3 linked regions of the Oryza sativa Japonica Group genome follow. The main gene of each other region encodes a partner of the protein of the gene in region 2 in a complex. Links are inferred from orthologs where the notes say so. Each region holds a gene or a part of one and is shown on either strand. Other genes may lie near its edges. The genes, in order: large ribosomal subunit protein uL4c, large ribosomal subunit protein bL9c and large ribosomal subunit protein uL29c.

Region 1 (4,267 bases), on a different chromosome or scaffold from region 2:
ATCCACTTGTAGTGCAATGTCAGAACAATTAGAAAGGTGATGATCTGGTCCAAAGTTGTCTGGGTGGACTTAAGGATGGCCCAACAACTCTTCTTGCATGACCCAGGTAAGAAAGAAAAATGATGGAATCATTATGGTTAGGCATAAGCAGAGGGTTGGTTCACTAAACCCTCAGGTGATCTACAAGTAAACCTGAGCAAAATGGTCTGTTGTTTACGACTGATCTGGGCTTAGAGTTTCAAGATCAGCATCTAACCCGGGCTATGCTGCTCCAGTGCTCCATGTCCAAGTTGAGCTAGGCTACTTTCCACATTGTAAAATGCAGCAAGTCCTCTGAAAAGACTTGTTAGTTGTTACTTGTTAGAGCTCACCCAGCGAAAAAGTTAGTCATAACAAGGAACAATTCAACAATTTAAGGAGACAAGATTTTGTAATCATACCCCTACTCAAGATGTTACTCTCTCCATTTTATATTATAAGTCGTTTTGACTTTTTTCGGAGTCAAACTTCTGTACGTTTGACTAAGTATATAGAAAAAAAATGGTAACATTTATAATACCAAACTAGTTTTATTAAATGTAACTTTGAATATATTTTTGATAACATGTTTGTTTTGTGTTAAAAATGTTATTATTTTTTCTATCATTTTGGTCAAAATTAAATAAGTTTGACTAGGAAAAAAAAGTCAAAATGATTTATAATATGAAACGGAGGGAGTAGAAAATTAGTGGTAACCAGCAGGTCAACACTGGTTTTTTGAAGCAAGATTGGGAAGCACTTTCTGTATAAAATTGGAAGAAAAATATGCAGTGGTTGACACGACATTGTATTTGAAAATATATGTGCAGTTTGAAGATCTAATATACTGCATCAGTGAAAAAAAAACATTATAAACTTACAACAAAAGTAAGCCAAAAAGCTTCTGCATCAGGGAAGCAATTACCAGACCAACAAACGAAAAACACGCGATCTACACCTCCTTCCCTAGGAATTGCTATCAGCCTCAGTCTCTGCAGCCTCATCTGAAAGTCATACAAAAAGAAGTTCCTGAGAAATGCTCAAAATAAGAGAAAGTTATAATATGCAGCACCAAAATGTAACAGAGAACTGAATGTCAATTAATAATAACTTAGTCCTGTAGCTATGCATAGTATTTACGAAAAGGAAGTGCTTGAGTGATGGAGAAAACATGTGTTTAACTAGGTTTTACCTCTAAAGCAACTTAAACCAGCATATTCACAGCTAACTACTTTATTAAGATGGTTCTAAGGTCTAACAGAACATCTTTGAAGTGAATGATGACAGTGCCAATGGCTGACAATGTTTCAAGTGATAGGTGATAGGGGTAGCTGTGTGGCACAGCAGATTGTGACACTATTATAAGGAGTGTACCAGTATCCCCAGAGTTCTGGTTCAGTGGTGTTCATGGATTCCATGCAGTCTCATTTCTTCTTATTTTTTAGTTTAGTGCTTAGGACTTAATCCACCTTCAGCCGAAAATTTAACCACCATTAGGTGAAGTCATTTTCTATTCGCAAATTGTTGAGTTGCTCATGAGCTCTGAATAAAAACCCTAAGGAGGTGCAAAATAACGAGTAAAATACAGACTCAGTGGGTCTACTGAGAGCTAGCATAGGGGTAGGTGGATCTCTAAGCATGCTTCTAAAATAGACCATTGAATTATGTCATGGACTTATTGGATCTTTCAGGAGGAAAAAAAACCATACGATGTACATTAGCATGGTAAGCATTTTTCCTTTTGCATGCTGGTAAGGATAAGAGAACTATTTCGAAAAAAAAATTAGCTCCATAAGTCTACAAGGCCACAAAGAATTTCTCCATAATAATTAAGATGGTATTCATAAGACAAAACTGGCTACATTTTCTGTTTCTTTGCCACGTTATCTTGTTTTTACCCTTAAAACGCATGTCAGGATCTTTATCAGCATACGTATAGCATCGATCATGATATTTACAACAGAGCATAGCTAAGAGTTAAAAGATAAAAAAAAAAACTACTGTACATGCCATTAAAGCAGAGCATTTTCTCTCCTAACTATCAACTAAAACATGTAAAATAAAGGATCACTGGATAGCATTAGTTACTCAAAGTCATTTCGCACATGCCCACCATAGAAACAATAAAAAGACACCTGGAAATTGTTCATGCATAGCTATGTACCTTGAGCAGCCTCCTCTGCGCTCCCTTCTCCTTCTTGCAACTCCTCTGCTTCCTCCTCACCATCATCCTCGCCATTGGTATCATCCTCATATTCATCAAAAACGGTGGCACCATACCTGGAGTTGAGATAGTTAATGGCGGCCGGGGTGAAGAAGAGCTTGCGGGCATCGAGGATGTCGTATAGGTTGAGAGTCCTGGGGGTTAGCATCTTGAGGGAGCCAATGTTCCTTCCGCTGAGCCGCACATTGTCTGCAAAATCCGTGGCGAAGAACATGGCCTTCTCCTTGGGGTCGAGCCCCCACCGCTGAAGCGCGGCCACGAAGTCCCTGGTCTTGGGACCCGCGGCGAACTCCTCGTCGAACTCCTCCACGACGAATGCATCGTCGGCCACGGCGGCACTGGCGAGCGCGGTGGAGATGGCGAGGCGCTTCTCCTTGCGGTTGATCTTGATGGACCAGTCGCGGGGCTTGGGCCCGAATATGACGCCGCCGCCGGGGCGGAGCGGCGTGCGCATCGACCCGCGCCGCGCCTTCCCCGTCTTCTTCTGCTGGTAGGGCTTCCTGCCGCCTCCCCTGACCTCGCCGCGGGTGAGCGTGGAGGCCGTGCCGCGGCGCTTGTTCTGGCGGTCGGTGATGATGGCGCGGTGCACGACGGCGCGCGCGGTGGAGGGCGGCGCCGACTTGAGGTCGAGGGCGACCTCCCCGACCTTCTCCCCGGTGAAGGAGAGAACCGGGAGGGTGGCCGCCTCGGCGCGAAGGGCGCGGAGGACGGAGATAGCCGCCTTCTGCTTGCCGGCGGCGACGGCGACGCGCGGGGAGGAGGAGGCGGCGGCGGCGGCGGATGGGAGGAAGGAGACCGAGGTGGGGGAGAGGAAGGGCGAGGAGGAAGAGGAGAGCGAGAGGAGGAGAGTCGAGGCCACGGAGGAGGCGGCCATTGCGGCGGCTTCGCTCGCTGCGGTGCGCTGCGTGGGCTGGACGACGGGGAGGCTTTGCCGCTGCAGCTGCGGAGCGGCCGCTTCTCTATCTCCTTATCCACCCCCACCCGACCGGACCGGCCACACTCTCGCGAGTGTCAGCTTAGTCGGTCGCGCCAGACCAGTAAGATACACACACTACTATGTGTTTGGATTTTAGAAGAAGCATCTCTTCATTAAAAAAACTTAGATATTGTTAAAGAAAAACCCTCGAGGCAGTATTAGTCTATTAGATGGTGTTTTTTTTCTAATAAAGATGAAATAAAATAGGAAAGCAAAATGAAAACGGCCCATTAGCTTATGTTTAATTAAGTTTTGATTATTTTAAACTTGAAATTGATTTATTTGATATTTTAAAATATTTTTATGTAAAAAATTCATATGAAACATACCATTTAGCAGTTTAAAAAATGTGTTAGGAAGAATTTGCATCTTAGTAAAGAAGGAGGCTTAGTTTCACCAAAATGAGTTTGAAATAATCAAATTAAATTTCATTTCCTTTTTGTCGGGTCAGATTGCTCATTAGCACTTGTGTATCAGAACAGTTGCCTGAGAACCACATTGACAGATGGGGCGCACCATAGACACAGTTATGCTAAAAATGGACAGGAACTCCAAATTTTCTACTTCTACTTTTGTTCTGAACACTTGCGAAGTTTTCACGATTGCGATCCTCTTCTCGGTTAGCTCTAACAAACAAGCTAAAGAAACTCAAGTAATCTGAACAGATGACTAGCGCTTGCGATTCTCATTGCCAACTTATTTTCTAGTGTTTCAATCTTCCATAACAGTATACTTTACACGAGCAACAGAGATAGCCTACCCAATATATACCATCATTATTGGTTCCTACAAGAATCACAGTGGTAATTGTACTACATCTTTAATCTCCTTTTTTTGGAGAGCCTACAGTCGATCAGAGTCTCACAGATAACTTGATATCTCCTAACAGGGGCGCTTGGCAACTCTGTCCATCGCTTTATGGAAACAATTGTGGTATAAGTAGGGAACTAACTCTTGTACAACCTAGATCATCTTAATGGCTTCGATGGTAACTTCTTAACAAGGCTGGTGTTGCCGGTTACCAATAATCGAGCGCCCTTCACCAGTTC
Region 2 (4,359 bases):
TTCTGGATGGAAGTTTCCAAACGAAGGTTTTTTCAGATGAAAGTTTTCATTAAAAAATGTGTTGAAATCCCTATGTTTGGGCCTAATAATACAGCGACCAAGCGGCCCAACCTACGACCACCAGACTGCCTACGTGCCATTTTGGCCCACCCAACCCAAATATTGTAGTAGCTCTATCAAACTATATGACTATAAAGAACGTGCACCTTTAAACAAGATTACAAGACAAGTATCAGTTGCTCTAGACTCTGAACCCTTTGTTGTTTACATCATGCCCATTTAACCCCATAACATTAACACAAATAAATTTGTCAAAAAAAAAAAGGTGCAAGAAACTGACTTTACAGGTAGGATGGACAGTGGCAATGTGTAAAGACCAAGCCCCGTGATGTGACACTGCACCTTGGAGTTTCAGCAAAAATCTCTGCAAGTAAATCATTGCATGAATTCAGCTGCTAACACAATTGACGAAATGTATATGACAGCTTAAGAACGGAGCAAAAGGTAAGGAACAATGGAATGCCTTGCAGATGAGCTTACCTGGTGAAATCAGAATTCATCCAAAGCCCACCATCCACTAAAGATTCAATCAAGCAGCTTCAGGGCTTATTTCGCATATACGGTCAGCCTTACTTGAGCTGTGACTTCAGGGTGAAGCTTAATCTCTGCAATGTATTCCCCAATTTCACGAATTTCTGGCACTGTCACGAGACGCTTGTCGACATCCCTACATGAAATAGTTTCCGGTAAGCAAAGCAACAGCAGCAAATAGAGCATCGCAATCCTTCCTTAAAAGGTAGTGATTGTCAGTGCACTTAGAAGGGCATACCTATTAAGTTGTGACTTTATGATGTCAACAAGATCTTGTGCTGTGACGCTGTAGAATAGAAGAAAAACTTGTTATTAAGTGCAAGTAAAATAAGACGATACATAAAGAACTATCTACTCGATAAAAACTTGCCTCCCAAATATCTGTTTTCCTTTCCCACCTTTACGTGGCACTTTGAATGCCCCAATAGTTTCAAAAACACGGGCAAGTTGCTGTGCCTCTTCTTTTACCTACTCAAGCACAAATGCTCAACAGGGTAAGATTATGCTAACACTGGATGAAAGTTCTTATACTCTTATGGAAAATGATATTGGTAGGAACAAATCATGCTTTAGACTTTTTACAAAATAAGCTAAACCACAACTACGTACCCTGGAGAACAAGGATTAGTAGGGTATAACTACCACAGTAGTTTTTAGACAGACAGGAACAAATAGGAATAAGTTTCAACTATATCAATTCTTACTGAGTCCACAAATAGAATAATAGGTTTACTTACCCGCTTCTTTTCAGCATCTATCCTCTCCTGTTCTACTTGCATTTCCCTGTAGACAGCAGCAGAGGAAATTAAGTAGCTTACTAGCCATCCTTTTACAAGAACTAATTGAACATGTTGAACACCCCAGAAGAACTGAACTAGAAATGCAGAATAGGCATCTATAAAAGTTTGCAGATTTATATGTCAATCCTGGGCTCCACAAGGAGGCAAGAGATACAATGGCTAACACAACAGAATAAATAGCTGCAAATTTACACCTGCAGCATACTGTGAAAACCAACTACGATGAAACATAAGCATACGTCAATTAATTTACTAGGAGCACCTATCTGTTGGTTGAAACATAGCCTATACAATTCGTGAGATGTGGTAAATGACTGTAAGACAGAAGATTACTTGAGTACTTCTGGGGTGAGCAGCGTTGCCTTGCCCTTTGGCAGAAGGAAGTTGCGGTAGAACCCGGCCCTCACTTTAAGCGTGTCCCCTTTCTTCCCCACCTCTGCTATGTCATCTGTCAGTATGACCTGGGAGAAAAAGAAACTCAAGTGAAGTAAATCAAATACGGAATCGTGCATTACATGCTAAAGTATAGAAATGCATAATAGACAAGGAAGATGATGACATAGGCTTGGAACATTTTACAGTTTACAGGTGCAAATTTTGAACTGGGTGTATCTAGATGCCTTTTAGTTGCAACTTTCCCTACAAACAAACAGCATGGCCAAACCAACAATTCCGGCGTTCCGGGGCATATACAGAATCATATTAGAGATGACTTTTGCATCTGAGTTGCAATGCTAAGAGGCACCTAATTAAAAACATGACGATAGTTTCTTCCATTTCCATGTACTGCATCAGAGCATGCGTCCATGGCAATGTATCTTTTCCTATACTCAGATGTGTGAATGCACACAGTAATCTTAAGCTTACAGCTGCTGCATTTCGAATTTTTCGATCGATGGAATGCAGTCGCATGCGCTTTGTAATCTACTGTACTGATTAGTGGACAGGGTGGTGACAGACAGTACATTGGGTATGGCTAGTTCTAAAAGAGGCAAAACAAAAGCATCACCAGCAACAGCTTGTTCAATCAGTCAGTACTAGTACTGCTTAGCTCGAACGAATCGCAATTAAATACATACATACATACATGCTGCAACTGTGGAGAGAAAATACAAGTGGAAGCCAAACCTGGCGATACTTCTTGACCTTGCCCTGGGCGACGACGACCAGCGACGGGGAGCGGCGCGGCGGGAGGCGGGAGGAGGGGGCGGAGGAGGAGGCGGCGGAGCTCCAGGCGAGCGTGGAGGCCATGGCGTTGGGGATGGATTGCGGGGGAAGGGAAGGAACTGCGGCTGCTGCTCTCTTATCCACTTCCCCAACGGATTTGGTGCCCTCTCTCTTGGGCTTTGCGCTGCTTTGGGCCTTTCAAATCGGCCCAGTATCAAAGGTTTTCTTCGGGGTTGTCATGGGCTTGAAGATTAAGGGTCATTTTGGTTTGGCGCTCCTTCTTGCCTTACTAATTCTTTGATAACTTAAAGGTCAAAAATAAATTATTTGGTAACTTTGAATAGTTAACACGTAACTATTTGAATTAGAGTCAAATTTTGCTAAATCAATAAGGTGAAGCCAAATAGACAATAACAAAAATTTAGTAATACCAAAATTTACTCAAGATTTGGCATTGCCAATATTTTGGCATGGTTTCATACCAAACAAGTCGTAATAATAATCCACCAAATTGTAACCCCCTTCCACTCAACGTATAGAGAAAGGTAGGAGATATATATGTACGTGATACCTCGACGATATTACTAAGATAGATAGATAGTACATGTGATGCCAAGATGTTATAACATACATTAAGAGAAACACTCAGGGGTCTTCCGGCTAGCTCCACAAGGTGATAGCCTAAATGACCTGGATTCGTAACCTCACCCCTTCTAATTATTTGATATTAGGTCCTTCACTAATATTCATGTTATAACATAAATCGAGAAATATATTATTATAACACTATTTTGGTGCTATCTTGAAACTCAACGATACATCACTAGCTACCATTACGTATAAACGTGTATTAATAGTATAAGCAAATATCAACGAGTATCATCAAGTATCAATGTGCAAGAACGAGTATTAGCAAATACTCCGTATCTTCATGAATAATATCAAAGAGTATAATCAAGTATCATTGTTTAATTATCAACGAGTATCATCAAAATATCATCCTCGTATATCATACTCCAGTATCATCTTGTTGTACTTTTTCTGACAAAGATCTCCAGCTGGTGACCTGTTTCTCGAAAGGAACAAAAATTAAAAAAAAACCTAGCAAATCGTTCTTAAAAAGAATGGCGATTATATATCTTATTGAATTAGTATGTCTACTGCTCAACGAGATGAGAAAACCGAAGAGAAGAGGGGTATATAATCGAGTATATGTCATCGTCGTCGTCATGTCATGCAGCCGTCCATGACTTCGTCCTTCCCGCCATCGGAGAAACCAAACAAGCGGACTCCACGAAGCTAGCTAAGCTAGCTAGCGCGCCAAAACTTTAAAAATCCTCACACCCTCTTCCACCTTCGCTTCATCTCCAATCCAATTCTCCATCGATCGTTACACCCAAAGATCGAGATACCAATACCATGGAGGAAATCTTGGAATCCGAGTACTCGGCCGCCGCCGCCGCCGGCGACGCGGCGTCCTTCGTGCTCTCCCGCTTGCCCCACCCCGACACCACGGCCTCCGCCGCTGCCGCCTTCGTCGTCGACGTCGCCGGCGCCGGCGGCGGACGAACGACGACGCTCTCGTTCGTCGCCCTCCGCCGTGCCGCGCTCTCCCTCGCCTCGGGGCTCCGGTTCGGGCTCGGCCTCCGCCGTGGCGACGCCGTTCTGGTGCTCTCGCCCAACTCGCTCCTGCTCCCGCCCATAGTTCTTGGCGTTCTGGCCGCCGGTGGCGTGGTGGTCGCCGCCGACCCGGGCTCCACGGCTGAGGAGGTGGCCACCGTGGCGCGCAGCTCGGGCGCGG
Region 3 (4,353 bases), about 3.6 Mb from region 2:
CACAGCCCAATCATTCTCATCCTCATCCATCGTATTCATCTGAGCAATCCTGCGTCCATTTTGGGAAAAAAATAAATCCGGTCCTGGTACAGAGTGCACGTCATATCGACATAGCCGTTGTATTTGTATGCACCCCTGATACGGCTCATCATGTAGATGCACAATCTTTTACGCCTTAATGCTCACAGTGAATGAACGAACTTCTCGTAGAAAACAAATTGAGTAAAGCAGTTATAACTTGATATATTGCTGTGTTCACAGAGAAAGCAACATGAAAAAAAAAGAGAGTAAAATGGTAGTAGGACTTAATATACCATTACGCATTTACGCTCACAGTGAAAGATCAAATCTCTCTCTCTCAAAAAAGGAGTGCAACAGTCAGACTTGATGCACAATCCATATGCTTCTTGATTCTGCATACCTTTCTGTCATTGTGTATTCAGCTTGTTAATTTCTGCTTTACATCGTTGAAGTGTTTCTGGTTGCTAAATAGGACAAATTTTATACTTGTAGATATACAAATACACTTAATTGAACTTGATTAACATAATTCTGTACAGAGCACAGCTTAAGCAGGCAAAGGTGAACAGAGATGTAGTTAACATGCCTTGGTGCTGATGTGTGAAGGTGTTCCAGATGCTTGGTCTTCTGCTACCCTCAGCTGCACCACCCTCGTACTGTAAGTCAAGAAAGGCCAACTCTTCAGATTTCAGACAAAGACAAAACATGTTACAATGTGACAGTTAATTTTTGGCAACTCATTCATTCCTTGGTGCCAATCTGAGCATTATTCAGTAGCATCGTGTAACACGCAAAAATCAACGAAAACAACAAAAGAAATTCCTTCTTTTTTCTTAATTACAGGTGGAATTAATCAGCTGTGGTGTGAAACTGTGAACCCGTAGGGAAGCAGGGGAGGGAGCTCCCGCTCCTGCATGACGGCATCCGGCGGCGGTAGCACGGTCCTCAGCCACGCCCTTTGTTGCACGGCCAGTGGCCTCCGTCCGAGATCCCCTTGGTGCCGCGACTTGGGGAGAGAGGCGGTCGGCGAATCAAAAGGCAGAAGCGAAGACGGACGTAGCGATGCATGTGATTTCCTCCTCCCCATCCCCAAGCACGGCAACCGAACTCATCGCCCCATCCAGCGACGAGGTGGATCTATGCCACCGCCGCCGAACTTGAGGGGAAAGACGGCACAGAACGGCGCGCTGGCGCGTGGGAGGGTCAGCCTAGGGCGTCGGAGGGGCGGAGGTGGAGCTGGAGCGCGGGGAGGAGGAAGAGGCGGCGACATCGGCGTAGGAGGACAAGTCGACCTCCGACGAATGAGGCGGAGGAAGCGGGGGCGGGGGCGCCGGCGGAGAGAAGGGCATTGCAGGTTTGGTATAACTTTTTCAAAAAGACCCCTAAAACCTCACATATTACAACGAGGTCCACCGCAGCTATTCCACACCGTTGATCTGTGATCTGACGGCTGCGAGAGGGAGACGAAAGCTGGAATCGTGCAGCGCCACGTGGAGGGGTTATTTGCACGCGAATCCGCGTAGATTTCGATATTTAGAGATGTGACATGCATATTAAGCAAGTGAAAGCCGTCCGATAATGCTTGAAGATTCGTGCCCCGAGTGGCTAATCAACATGACCAGATAAACCCCCTTATCCACGAACCCCGACCGGCAGAGAGCGCAGACGCGAGCGCAGCGCAAAAGATGGCGACGATGTCCCTCGCCGCGGCGTCCCCCCTCGCCTCGACTCCCCGTGGGCTCGCCGTCTCCACTCCCCGCACGGCCTTCCTCGGCCTCCTGACCGGAGGGGCGTCGCTGGCGCCGTTCCCGGGACTGGCGGCGGCGGCGGCGCCGCCGCGGCTGCCAGCGGGGAGGGGCGACGCGGCCGTGGCCAGGATGGCGAAGAGGGAGCAGGAGCTGGAGGAGATTCGGGCCATGCCGACGGAGAAGATCGAGGAGGAAGTGGTGGACCTGAAGGGGGAGCTCTTCATGCTCCGCCTCAAGCGCTCCGCGCGCCAGGAGTTCAAATCCAGCGAGTTCGGCCGCATGCGCAAGAGGGTATGTCTCTTACTCCATGGGGTACAGATATACCACAACTGCTAATTCCATTGCGAAAGTTTAGCATTTACTCCTGGCCAAAATGCGTTCAACCTACGAGTGGAAATTCCACCTTCTACTTCCAAATGGGTGTGGAGTGGTCGCATGTTCTGCTCAGTGTGTTCTGTTTACAAGGCCCTTTTGTTCAACCTCTAGTACTGAGTTGATTATGTTCAGATATATTGAGTTGATTTCAGGTTCAGAATAGTGGAATAACTTACCAATTTGTTGGTGGAATTTTGCCTGATTTTTATCAGTTGCATATTGGCCCATACTGAATTTACAGATGATTTGGGTTAATGCTTGGACAATTTCAGTCTCAGAAGCAATTTTTTTTTACTTAATTTGATTAGAAAGTCATGCTGACATCCATTTACGTATTCTTACATAGTATCTACTTTGGGTTTGTAGTATTGTTTATTGGATTTTAGTGCATAGAGTACTACATGAAGAATGATATTGCAATGCAATGTGTATCTGAAGAGCTTTTATACTGTTCTTGGGAAAGTAGTGTTAAATTAACCTTCAGTGGACCAAAATTTAAAATGGAACAAAACTTTGTTCTGAGGACGTCAAAATGCAGATAGTACACAAGAACTAATTCTACGGTCAGTTATGTGATACCTTGTTCTTCTTGAGGGCTTCTGATAAGTCAATTGTTATGAATTATCACTTGCTTTGGAGTTCAGGTCTCCACCTCTGCTCAGGGACAGCACAGGACAAATAGTTAGCAGCAGAGTAATGCATACTTATATCTGCCTCGATCAATGCTTCTTGCCTTTTAGGAGGAGGATATCAGATTTTTTTTTCCTGTTGTTTTTCTCACCCTGCTCATCTTGCTTCAATAGCAGCTTTCTACTATCTAAATTTAGCATTGACTTGGGTTGTCATCTTCGCATCAGATTGCTCGTATGCTGACTGTCAAAAGAGAACGGGAAATTGAACAAGGAATCAACAAGAGATTGTCTAGGAAGCTTGACAGGAAATGGAAGCAAAGCATCGTGGTTAGACCACCACCATCTCTAAGGGAGAACAAGGAGGAATAGAGAGCCACAAAAGCAGACAGTCTGTAGAAGTCATTTCATGCATGTCTTGAAGGAAGGTTTCTTTCTCCCTGTGGTTTCATTCCTTATAATGGATTGATATGTAATTCACATTAACTGATTTCCAAGTCCTTGCTGTCAAAACCAAAAGTTCTATTACCAATTCCATTTGTGTAAATTTCAGTTTATTCAAAATGTGTTGTCCATATATGCACTTATATTACTGATATATGAAACTGTGCTTAACGAGTGTATGCTATACACTTGTTGAAACTCAAACTGCCTATTCAAATTCACCTGTCACAAAGTTGTGGGTACGTACATACTATAAGAGGCAGATATGCAGAGTTCTAAAGAAGTGTCTCTGGAATACGGAGTAACAAAAACAAGAGAATTAGGCCATGTCTATAATAGTTCGCTTGGAATTTTGGTGCCCTGCTTTGCTCCAAACTCAAGTTCACTGTTTTATCAAACGTTTCAAAACTGTACAACTGTCTCCAAGCCCACGTTCTTGTGGCTTGTTGTGTCGGTCACCTAGATTTATGTTATTGTTCAACACTGATTTATGCTTAAACTAGCTCTGTTAGACTGTCCTAAAGCATGTTGGGCTTTCCCCTTCTACTCTAGCTTTAGAGTATGCTGCAGGTATCTCTGCACAGAGCTAGGGAGCCATCCTAGATCCATCATCAGTTTCATAAGCAAGCCCAGGTGGCTTGGCCCTTCAGCCAAAACTTGTTATTCTGATCTCTTCAACAGATCTTAACTTGAGATGTAGAGAGGCTTCACTCACAAGGTAATCTTTTAGTCAACTATTGTCTTCCTCTTTTTTTAGCTAATTGTTTAGTGAGCAGAGTACTGAGTTGGTGATTGTTTGAAGATAAATGCCAACAAGTGGAAATAGCATCCATGCAATTCTTTTGTTGAAAGTCTCAAGTCATCAAGGTCGAAGTGATGTTGCTGATAATTTGGTTGGGTAGATAAGAAATGAAATGAAGAGGATATCAGCCCCAGTTAATTGCAGCAATTTTATTTCAAACGCCATGCCTTGTCTTTGTTATGCCTTTTGGCACTGAGCCGCTGACTCTCTCACTGACAGGTGTGGTTCAGGCCCAATGCCACTGAGAGAAGCTAATGGCAAAATCTTAACTGCAACTTGAATCTATAGCAAGAACAAGATTTCCACTAGTTCAGTTTGTCCAGTGTTTTTCATG

The links.
Region 1: large ribosomal subunit protein bL9c (region 2) and large ribosomal subunit protein uL4c share a complex: the UniProt entries of both Arabidopsis thaliana proteins name them as parts of the 50S ribosomal subunit. The link is inferred for Oryza sativa Japonica Group from reciprocal best matches to the Arabidopsis thaliana genes RPL9 and RPL4.
Region 3: large ribosomal subunit protein bL9c (region 2) and large ribosomal subunit protein uL29c share a complex: the UniProt entries of both Arabidopsis thaliana proteins name them as parts of the 50S ribosomal subunit. The link is inferred for Oryza sativa Japonica Group from reciprocal best matches to the Arabidopsis thaliana genes RPL9 and AT5G65220.

The regions. Positions count from the first base shown.
Region 1 is NC_089037.1:8,802,714-8,806,980, reverse strand, and holds large ribosomal subunit protein uL4c, read right to left. Parts: upstream 3,185-4,267; 5' UTR 3,117-3,184; coding exon 2,183-3,116; intron 1,023-2,182; coding exon 985-1,022; 3' UTR 768-984; downstream 1-767. Other genes in the region: peroxisomal nicotinamide adenine dinucleotide carrier, read right to left, coding at 4,187-4,267. UniProt on the Arabidopsis thaliana protein: This protein binds directly and specifically to 23S rRNA. May play a role in plastid transcriptional regulation.
Region 2 is NC_089036.1:35,818,998-35,823,356, forward strand, and holds large ribosomal subunit protein bL9c, read right to left. Parts: upstream 2,662-4,359; 5' UTR 2,643-2,661; coding exon 2,520-2,642; intron 1,853-2,519; coding exon 1,725-1,852; intron 1,375-1,724; coding exon 1,329-1,374; intron 1,060-1,328; coding exon 962-1,059; intron 878-961; coding exon 830-877; intron 728-829; coding exon 607-727; 3' UTR 541-606; intron 425-540; 3' UTR 187-424; downstream 1-186. Other genes in the region: 4-coumarate--CoA ligase-like 3, read left to right, coding at 3,978-4,359. UniProt on the Arabidopsis thaliana protein: Binds to the 23S rRNA.
Region 3 is NC_089036.1:32,213,381-32,217,733, forward strand, and holds large ribosomal subunit protein uL29c, read left to right. Parts: upstream 1-1,675; 5' UTR 1,676-1,706; coding exon 1,707-2,060; intron 2,061-3,001; coding exon 3,002-3,145; 3' UTR 3,146-3,421; downstream 3,422-4,353.